2 linked regions of the Coturnix japonica genome follow. The protein of the gene in region 1 interacts with the protein of each later gene in a pairwise test. Links are inferred from orthologs where the notes say so. Each region holds a gene or a part of one and is shown on either strand. Other genes may lie near its edges.

Region 1 (5,209 bases):
CCTGTTTGCACATGACTGGACAACAGGCTGCTGAGATAAGGCCTTGTGCCTGCTCTGCTCTGTGCTGCTCTGCCCAGTGGGGAGAAGGACAGAGCTTCCCAAAGGTGGACATCTTCCACCTGAGATGCTCATTGAGCAGCAGTGCGATAACTTCACATTGGGCTCATGGGCAGGAGTGGGATGTGCAGCTGCAACAAGGGGTTGCCAGGGTCCCTGGATGAAGGCTGGGCTGGGTGGGGGGGGTTGTGCTGACCGATAGGTTTACGGTTCCTGAGAACATCCAGGTTTGTCCGCTGCTCTCTGATGTAGGGTGGGTACATGGCTCCGTCAGGCTGAGGGCAGCACAGGCTGCACAAGGGCTGCAGTGAAATGGAGAAAGGCATAACACAAAATTACCTTCTATTCCTTCAAACAGCCTATACATCAGCCTATAGCTGTACCACACATCCCAGCCCCGACTATCAGTCTGTAAGATCTCATGCAGCCTCATCAGCAGCTGCAGGAGCTCTCCTGCTTTCTGCTGCCCTTTGTTCCTCCAGCTGTTTGTAGGGCCTTTCTCTGGGGGGGACCAGGGAATAAAGCAAAAGAGCAACATCCCAGACACTTATTTTTAACTCTTTGACTTGGAGGCTCCAAGCAAGGAGGCTTTGGTGCTCTCCAAGTGAGCTCTGCTTTGGATTCAGCACATTCCTCACCTCTCCAAGAACACAACTTGCAACAGATTCTGGCTTTGTGTAAGAAAGAACATCTCCAAGTGGCCCCAGGCTGCGATGGGGACACTGCTGTGTTGGGGGGACCTGGGGAAACACCATTGTCCAGGCTGGCTCCATTCCAGCTGAGGTTTGCAATGATCATCACTGATGGGGAGGGCAGTTCGGCAGAGCGGTGCCTCTTTCAGAAGCACCTTTAGTTTAAAGAGCTTTAAGGTGCTCGCTAACCTCAGCCTTAGCAGAGCCCCTGCTCTGCCAATGGTTCATTTCATCCCACCCAAACTCCCGAGGCAGGAGGCGCAGGGACGGACACAGTAAGAACCTACATTAAATCCATGTTCCACCTTCACTCTCCTGCTGGCCGGCCCCGAGCTCGGACAGTTCTTCCCACTGCGGCGCGATGCATCTGTACGAGGACAGACGGGAGGAGCCGTATTGAGCCCTGTGAGCGCTGCCCACGGCCCCATTTATTTCCCCACATCCCCCATATTTTACCCATGTTTCCTCTTCTGCCCGGATCCGGTCACTAGTTTGGATGCAGCAGCCCCGGCCTTTCGGTGCTGCCCGTTCGCTCCGGTTCCCGCGCACAGCCCCCGCTTTGTGTCCAGGCCGCTGTCAGGCCTTCGGGGCTTCGCTGTGCCCCCCAGCCTCCAAGTTTCGCTCTATTTATCGCTATACCCATAACGCATCGCCCCGCTCCCGGCCCATTTACCCCCGTTACCCCCCCGGCCCCGCCCCTCCCTCCGTTCAGGCGGCACAAAGCTTCCCGCGAAAGTGACGTCACCGCGCGCGCCGCCTCCTCCCGCTCCCGAACCCGCGCCCGCGCGCGCCCCCATCCAGCTCCTCCCGCCCTCCTTTCCCACGTGACCCCGCTTCGCGCCGCTCTCCCATTGGCCGCTCCGGCGTCGTCGTGAGATCGACGCGCGCATTTCCCGCCCCGCCATTGGTCGCTGTGTGTGTGTGGCGCTGGGAGGTGGCGCGCCGCCCCGCCCCCCCCCGGTGTGCGCCTGGCGGCGGCGCGTGGCAGCGGCTCCCGCGCGCGGCTCCGAGTTGGCGCGGCCCGGCCATGACGGACTTCAAGCTGGGCATCGTGCGGCTCGGCCGCGTGGCCGGGAAGGTGCGGGGGGATGGGATGGGGATGGGAGACGGGGGGACGCGGCGGGAGGACGGACGGACCGAGGGGGGGGCGCGGCCGGGAGCGTCGGGCCGGGCTCGGCCGCACGGAGCTGGGCCGGGCGGAGCGCGGGGCGGCGGCTGAGCGCGGTGCTGTGTTACAGACCAAGTACACGCTGATCGACGAGCAGGACATCCCGCTGGTGGAGAGCTTCTCCTTCGAGGTGAGCCCCGCGCCGCCCCGGGAACCGACCCCGAGGGATCCGCTCCCCGCCCCAGCATCCGCCCCGGCCCCGCAGCCCCCGACCCGCCGGGCAGCCCCGCAGCCCCGACCCGCCGCTCCGTCCCCGCCGCCCGTTCCCGTCCCAGCGCTGCCGGCCCGTTTCCCGGCGCTCCCCCTGTCGGAGTGGGAAAGTTGCGAGGTTCCCTCCGCACGTGGGAGCGGATCCGTCCCGCCCCGAGCTCTGCTGGTGCCGCCCGCGCCCCCGGGGCTGGGAAGGCCGAGCGCTGCCGGGCTGTGCTGAGCGCTGTGCTGAGCGCTGTGCTGAGCGCTGTGCTGAGCGCTGTGCTGAGCGCTGTGCTGAGCTCCGAGCTGTGCTGAGCGCCGCCGCGTTTCCTCCGCGCGGCCATAGTGACAATAGTGAGGCCCCACGTGCGGCGCTGCGTCCGGCCAGGAGAGGGGGGGAGCTGTGGGGGGGTCCAGCACCTCCATCGTGGGGCGGGGGGAGAGGAGATCCGGGTCTGATCTGGGGGGAAATCCTTTCCTCAGAGGGCGGTGAGGCCCCGCAGCGCTGCCCAGAGCGGTGGGTGCCCGTCCTGAGGTGCTCAAAGCTGTGGATGGGCCCTGGGCAGCCTGAGCTGGGGGGGTTTGGGGTCCATGTCAGCACAACCATCCCATGGAGCCGTAGCAGTAGAGGTTCGTTCTTGCTGGAGATCTGAAACAAGCACAATTCCACGGCAATTCAGTGTCCTGTGGACACGTGGGAGGTGCTGCCTGTCCCTACCGCTGTCCCACTGCAGCTCACTCTCTGCTGCTCAGCACCAGTTGATCTCACGCTCTTCCCCTTCTCTCCAGGCTCGCATGGAGGTGGATGCTGATGGAAATGGTGCTAAAATATTTGCTTACGCTTTTGACAAAAACCGTGGAAGGGGATCCGGCCGCCTGCTGCACGAGCTGCTCTGGTGGGTATCACAATAGGGCCCGGGGCTGTTACTGCACACAGCATTTGGGGCCTCATTCAGAGCCCAGAGCAGTGCTGCAATGCCCTGGCCTGGCTCTGTTTTGCACCGTGCCCTGAGATAGCTGATGCTCCAATAATGTTATTTCTAGGGAGGGTGGTTACAGGTGAGTATTGTGTTGCTTCAATCTGGGAAATGCGACTGAATCTTCACTTGGGGCTTCTTCTGTCCTGAGATGAGCAGGTAGGTGAGAAGTGACAGACTGTGGATAGAGCAGCTGATAGCCCACAACTTAGGGGACTTTGCTCGTCTTTCTGGATCCTGAAGGGTGCTGCTGCTTCCTACACTGCTGTGTCTGCTCCCCTTGTGGCAGGGAGCTTTGCCTGAAGTTCTTTGTAGCTGCCATTAGGACTCAGAGCCCAGCAACTGGTTGTCAGAGGCACTTTGTAAATGTGTTCTTCATGGGTTTATAGGAAAGCTGGGCTATGTTGAAGAGAACCATTATTTATTTTTAAAAGCCTTTTCTGAAGAATTAAACATGCTTTCTGTTCAGTCCCATAAACTGTAATGAAAGAGCACCCAAGATCTCCCTGTACTTTCTTCATTGCTTGAGGTTACTTGTTCTCCCCCAGCTCAGTCCCTGGATGAGAGAGGCAGGAAAAACGCCAGGCACAATTACTCTTATTTTAAATCTGCTCATTAAATATGGATTTTAACCTGCTCTGTTATTGTTTAATCTGACAGTACACAACTTTGGAAATGAGTCAGAATTTGGCTGCACTGTGTGGTGTGAGTGGGGCTGTCAGCCCCTGCTCACTGTGCAGCTCACAGCAGAGCCTGCAGTGCTTGCCTTGCTCCAGCGTGTGCAGGGCTTTGCGTACAGCTCAGTCATTGCCTCTCTCATTAGCTGGACTTCTGTTAGGAAACAGCTGTAACATGCTCAGTTGGGTAACTCAAATCGTGTGACTTCACCATAGTGAAGCTGGTGTCAAACCCCCGAGGTTCTGAGTGATGGGGATTTTTGGAGGCGAGCTGTGAGCTGCCCTGCAAGCCAACCTGCAGGTCTGGAGATACAGTCAGGTTCTTTGGGAAGCACTGAGCATTTCAGCTGTTCTCTAAAGTTGGTTTGGTCCCTCTGAAGGCGTCTGTTTTGCTGTGGTCTTTAATTACACGCTACCACGAGGCAGCTCGGTGCGCTTTGCTGCCTGAGCCTCCTTGTATCTCTGAGAAGCCTCTTGGCTGCAGGTGCTGCGTAGTGCTGACCCTCCTATCAGCACGCTGTGCTGCTCTCCTTGTGCTGCAGCTGTTCTGAAAACAAACCTGCAGTGTGTTGAGCTGAAGGACCATCCCCCGCATGAGCTCTGGGACAGCAGACAGGGCTGCAGGGGCCCCGTGAGGGAGATGGGTGGCAGCACCCATCACAGCTGCATTTCCTGCATGAAGGAGAAGCAGAGAGCTTGAGTTACTGCATGTAGCGGAGTGCAGGTGTTCCACCTGTCCTGTGCATCCCCTTCCTCAGAATCTCACTCTAAAGGGACAAACCTGATGCTCCATCAGCCCCTTTCAGCAGACTCTTTTCCATGCTTCTTCTTGGTTTCTTCCCTAAATCCAGGCTGGCGTGAGTTAATATGCAGCTGTTCCTACTTTGGGTTCAAGCAAGTTGCAGTAGTTTCTCTTAGTCAATATGCAGGCATTGCAGGCTGTCTGTTATTCACAATTAGTCAAAAATATTCGCCTGTTTGGTGGTGAAAGCCCTGTCCTGTTGCTTAAGAGACGTACTCAGTAAATGAAAAACTGACTCACGCCAGTGCCAAACTTGAACATATAATAGAAACTATTAATATTAAAACAGTAAAACAATATTAGCTCCATTCAAGCTGTAACATTAATAATTACATGGGTGCTGGTGCTGAAACTGGAATGATGGTTTCTGGAGGTTTCTGTGCAATATTCTTAGAATTCAAATGTACCAGGATTGTCTTCTGAGTCAACTAATTTATAATGGAAATGAGCTCCTGAAACAGATCTCTGTCTTCTGGGAGCTGATACAGCTGAAATACCCACTGCAGCCCGAGCTGTATCGTCACCGTTTCAATGGCAGCAGACTAGGAGGCCTCCTGGAATCAGGGCAGTGCTTGGGGCTGCGGAGCATCGCTCGTTGCTGAGCTTCAGGATGGTTTTGTTTCCTGCAGGGAGAGGCACCGCGG
Region 2 (5,169 bases), on another chromosome or scaffold:
AAACAAAAGTTTATTGCCTGATTTCATTGAAAGAGCTGTACATTTCAAAAAGGGAGAGAGACATTAACAGAGGAACAGCAGTATTAATTCAACTACAGATTGAATCTGAACTACTGACTGTATAAAACCTTTATAAAAATCAAAGGACAGAACAGTCTTACAGCTGTTAGAAAGCCCTCCTTATTGCCACTTGTAGTGTAACTCACACTGCATTAAAAAACACTTTTATTTGCACAAACCATCCTTATTTATTTGCACACAGTGAAAAATTGCATATTTCTGAAATAGTCAAAGAGTCTGGAATGCTCGTGTTTCCAAGCTGGTCTTTATCTTAAAGTCTTCTATTTCTGAAAAATAAATTGGTCAATGAATTCATTCTGATCCGCTTCAATTTTACACAGACTCTCATATTCTATTCGATATCTGAAAGACAAAGAAAATAGGTTACCAGCTGATATTTTAGTGCAGTGCTCACCAGTCTGAGAGCGAAGCTCAGGGCTTCGTGTGTGTCCTTTTTAAGGCAACAGTCACATGAATTAGACTTGACAGTTCTAAAAAGCCTTTAGAAGTCACCTGCCTGCCACTCTTACTGTTTTATTAATTTCCACAGTTGTATGATCTCACATCACCTCTATCCGGATAGCCACAAAGCCATTAGAAATGATCCTTCTCAGTACGTGGCTGTTTCTCTCACATCTACACAGCTTTCTTTCCCAACTATTACGTCCATGCCCCAAAAACACTTAATAGGAAGCTCACCTTTCCAGCTGCATCTTTTTCTCAGCTATTAAAGCCCGCAGCTGCTGTTCCTGTGCTTCCCTTTGCTTTGCTATAGACTTCAGCAGATTCCGTGCACCGATGGCCTGTCAAAACAGACGTTTGTGATGGATCTGTACAAGGAGTTTTAACCCCTTTCACTACCAGCAGGTCGCGATGAAAGTCTTTCAGCCGTGCTAAGAGCAAAGGGGGCATCGTCCTGCTGGATGGGCTGTGGAGCAAACACAGTCCCTGTAGGGGCTGGGCGGGTTGAGGCATCTGAGGCTTCCTTCCAACCTGGGATATTCCTAACAGTGTGAAATAAACTGACCCCCTGGTGGCTGCTACCAACAGGAGGCTCAGGAGTTTCTCCCACAGAACAAACAAGGGAAAAGTAATCACAGCTGTGCTGAAAATTCATCTCCAACCCCATAATAAAGTGAGAAGATAAAGAGCGCTTGGTGACGTGTATTAGTGCACGTTTCTGAGGTAGTTACAGAGGTTTTTACTGCGTGAATCGTTGGACAGCCCTGTCCTCAGAGCCCACCATGAGCTGCGTCCTGCCAGGAGGTGTGACTACAAGGACAGCCCCAACGGACCGTACCTTCATCTTCTCGCTCTCGACAGCTCTGGCCAACTGGTCCATGAGCTCGATCAGGCCGCCCACCGTGCTCTGGAATTGCGCTATTTCTGAAAGAAAAACGGTCCCGCGTTCGTGGCTGTCAGCGCTGCGCGGAGTGAAGCGGCGCCCCCCGCCCCGCCCCGCACTCACTGTCCACGAAGGCCTTGCACTCCTCGCGGAGCTGCGCCGTTTGCTGCGCCACGTCGGGGTCGAGGACGCGCAGCTTGTTGAGCTCGTCGAAGTGCAGCCCCGCCGCGCCCAGCGCCTCCTGCGCCATCCCGGCACCGCTCGGATACACGGAGCCACAGGAAGCGCTGCAGGGTGCGGCGCAGCGCGCAGGAAGTGACGGGCTGCAGCGGGGGGGACGGCGGCCACGGGCGGTGAGCGGACTGTAGGGCCGGGCGGTGAGCGGACTGTAGGGCCGGGCGGTTCGGTGACGTGGGGCCGCGCGGGCGGGGCTGCGGACGCGGAACTTCGGTGTGGCCGCCGCGTTCGGGCCGGGGACGTTGCGGAGGCCACGGACGCGCCGCCCGACGGCCCCGCGACACCCGGTCGGCGCTGCCCGGACAGGCCGGAGCGGCCCGCGCAGCCGGTACGGGGCAGGGGAAGAGCGGGGCGGGGCGGAGCGCGTGTCCGGGCCCCGCCGGTTCAGCTCGGGGCGCAGTTGTCGCTTTGTCCTGTTGCTTTCTCTGCTTTGTGCGTCTTTTTTCCTTTGTCTCTTCTCGTTTTCTCCCCTCGCGCCGTTAGTCCCGCTCCTTTTCGTGGCCGTGCTGAACAGGGGCCGCTTCCTGACGGCGGTGCCGTTGTTGTGCTGCGCTCCGGCCGGAAGGGAAACGGGGCAACATTTATGCGTGTGTTAATGTGGGTAATTAAAGGTTCAGTCTGTGTTTATCGCAGGAGCCTCCTACGTGATCGATGATCAGGGACCTCAGTGACGTTTTGTCTCCCCGGACACGCTGTGCAGCGGGTTCTCATTTTGCTTTTTGGTTGTTTTTTTGCTTCGTCCTTCTTGGTCAGAAACGTAGCGACGTGCCGGAGGTGCGGCAACTACAGAAACCTTCACTAGTGCACGTGTTCAGAGATGCCGCTGCTGAGACTGGAAAGCTTCGTGCACACCCAGAGCTCGTTACGGACTCTGGCTGTCCTTAAAAACACGCTTTTATTTTGGAGGAAGGGCTCCTGTGGTCTGAAGCAGGATGGGACACCGAGGGCAAACCTGCAGCCCTGAGCCATGGTGCTGTTTTCTCTGGAGGTTGTAGGTGTAGGACAGTGCGCTGCTGCTGCTGCTTCTGGTTTACTTCGGTGTATGACAATATAACCTAGAGTTGACAAAAAGTAACTTTGTTGCTGGCAACATGGATTTCTCTGGAGCTGCTTTATTTGTGCAATTAACTTCTTACAGAACACAACTGTAATAAGCAGCTGCTAGTTGCTGTTGCTGGGTTACTGGTGGGGAATTGCTCCTCTGAGCAATATTGTGCTGGCTTTTAACTGAGACAAATACTCCAAAGACCAGACATTTTTTAGGCGTACCCATCCTGAAACAATAATAATAGAAACTACATGACATCGACTGTTGGTTTTTCTAGGAGTGAAGGGGGGAAAAGAAGTAGAATAAAAGGAGTTTCGAGGAAATAGAATGTAATGTTCCAGCACTGCAGTATCAAGTCGTTTGAAGAAGTTGGAGCTGCTATAAGAATATCACGTTAAAATATTTTTTATGTAATCGCCAGATGAAAGAATTGGACAAAGCTCTTCCATTTGTTTCCCTCCTGCAGGCAGAAAAGTTATTTCGGGAAGTTGAACGGGATCTGAATCCCATCTAGCACTTAACCTTGGGCTGCAGTGTTGTGTGTTGATTGTAATGCTGGCTGAAGACTGAATAACAGGAAGCCCAGAGGAGTTCAGCTTGCCTCACTAACAGTAATGAAGTCGTAATATGACTGTGATGTTAAACAGCTTCTGTATTGCTGTGTAAGTTGTTTGAAAATACACCTGCATTTTGTTTTGTCAGCACATTTGTAGGTGTGTCCTTAAGAATGTACTGAATTTGTCTCTTCGTTGTGGGCTTCATGGCTTTGTTTCTTTGTGTAAATTCTAGGCTTCTGTGTTGATCTTAAACATTTCCATTCCAAGAGTCTGGTGGCTATGACCATTTTTGCCTTCCCATCTTCGCCCAGTGACTCGTGACTCGTTGCCAATCACGGCGGAATCCATCAAACCCACACTCTGCAGGGTCGTCATCTACCTACAGAAGGAGATGTCGGGGGACACGTGTCTAACCACCACCCTGTGTCCAGCTGTGGGCCCCAAGCCTAAAACCTGCAGCTTCAAAGTCGGCAGCCTCGGTAACAAGTACGTGCGACTAAATGTCGGGGGCTCCTTGTATTACACTACAGTGCAAGTCCTGACCAGGCATGACACGATGTTGAAGGCCATGTTCAGTGGCAGAATGGAAGTTCTCACAGATAAGGAAGGTAAGTAAATGTCTTTTGTTGTTGAGAATCTTGTAAAACAACTATTGGAGTATTTTTTTGTTTGTTTTTAATGCATATTAAAGCTATGCTCAATGAAGGGTGTGGAGAAAGCTGTATTCCAAAAGGAGCCAGGAACATCAGGCTGCCAGATCCCATTGGCTCTACCTGTGCTTTATATAAATTGTCCTTTTGTTATTAAAATTAACAAGCAGAAGGGCTGGTTCTCTTTCCTGCAGTCACAGGTGGTAGGCAGATCGTTGATGTTTTTATGAAGACTGGACAGTATGTGGGCTGTCATATCTACAGTGCATTAATCAAAATGTCTTTAGGGAGGGGAGAGTCAGTTTTCAGCTTTAAAACTCAACACAGCCTTGATTGCTGTGTTGAAGATTTTCAGATAGGCTGAATCTTGTTGAGTGTCACGTAAGGCTGAATCTGTTTGGCCCAGCAGTTCTGTGTAAGAGCCCCAATCTACCAGAATGGAGGATGAGATTTGTCTTCAGGCAGCTTTAGCTGGAGAATCTGGCAGTGGTTTAACCCTCTTTCCTATGTTACCTTATATGTCTAGATCCTAAAATATAAAGAACTTTGGGTTTTTTTTTTTGGTTTTTTTTTTTTTTTGGTCTGCCTTCCACTTCATGAACAATGATTGGGCACTTTATTAAGCCCTCTGTCTGTGTGTGTCCTTTGCTATTGTTTGCCAGCAAGTCAGACATCCTGTTTCCCAGTGAATGTGACTGCAGGGAAGTTTCAGCATCACAAAAACTGTCTACTGCTGTTTCCTGTGCTGGATCCCCCCGTTCCTCGTCTTCCTGATCCATCCTTGTCCTGTTCCTTCCTCCTGTTTGGATACTGGAGCAGCATTTTTCCCTCACTGGATTTGTCAATTAAATAGATGTGCACTGGTGACTTCCTGTAGTAATTAGAAAGGTTTATGCCTTTAATTGGAACAAAATACAAAAAGGATGAAGCACAGAAAATAACTTTGGTACAATGGCTGATCAATAGATACGGTGCAGTCAAGTTCTTGCTGCAGTTTTTTAAATGTCAAGTGATAGGAAGCTCATGGCTTCTCTTCTGAGGTGCTGGAAAGTAGTGAGAATACAGACAAGGTGCCAAGGGAGAGGTTCCGCTGTTAGTTTCTGTTCTGTAACAAATACCAATTTGTTGAAAGTCAGTGAAGTCTTCCCCTGAATGGAATCAGAAGAATGTCTTGTAGTTTCAGGCAGCAGCTGACTCACTGGGGAGGTTTGTTGGGTTTTTTTGCCTCCTAGCGTTAAGCTCACTGAAATGTTATGGTGATTATTTTTCAGG

The links.
Region 2: the proteins of ZMYND19 (region 1) and TNFAIP1 interact in binary tests that used the Homo sapiens proteins (3 or more experiments, as listed by UniProt). The two-hybrid records come from large-scale screens. The link is inferred for Coturnix japonica from reciprocal best matches to the Homo sapiens genes ZMYND19 and TNFAIP1.

What each region holds. Positions count from the first base shown.
Region 1 is NC_029532.1:877,496-882,704, forward strand, and holds the start of ZMYND19 (zinc finger MYND domain-containing protein 19), read left to right. Parts: upstream 1-1,687; 5' UTR 1,688-1,776; coding exon 1,777-1,827; intron 1,828-1,987; coding exon 1,988-2,047; intron 2,048-2,898; coding exon 2,899-3,005; intron 3,006-5,194; coding exon 5,195-5,209. Other genes in the region: protein STPG3, read right to left, coding at 254-359, 1,037-1,116, 1,206-1,209. UniProt on the Homo sapiens protein: May be involved as a regulatory molecule in GPR24/MCH-R1 signaling.
Region 2 is NC_029534.1:8,043,779-8,048,947, forward strand, and holds the start of TNFAIP1 (BTB/POZ domain-containing adapter for CUL3-mediated RhoA degradation protein 2), read left to right. Parts: upstream 1-1,655; 5' UTR 1,656-1,758; exon of another isoform or gene 1,759-1,970; intron 1,971-1,993; exon of another isoform or gene 1,994-3,156; 5' UTR 3,157-3,352; intron 3,353-3,479; 5' UTR 3,480-3,638; coding exon 3,639-3,855; intron 3,856-5,168; coding exon 5,169-5,169. Other genes in the region: IFT20 (intraflagellar transport protein 20 homolog), read right to left, coding at 342-423, 760-863, 1,361-1,446, 1,529-1,655. UniProt on the Homo sapiens protein: Substrate-specific adapter of a BCR (BTB-CUL3-RBX1) E3 ubiquitin-protein ligase complex involved in regulation of cytoskeleton structure.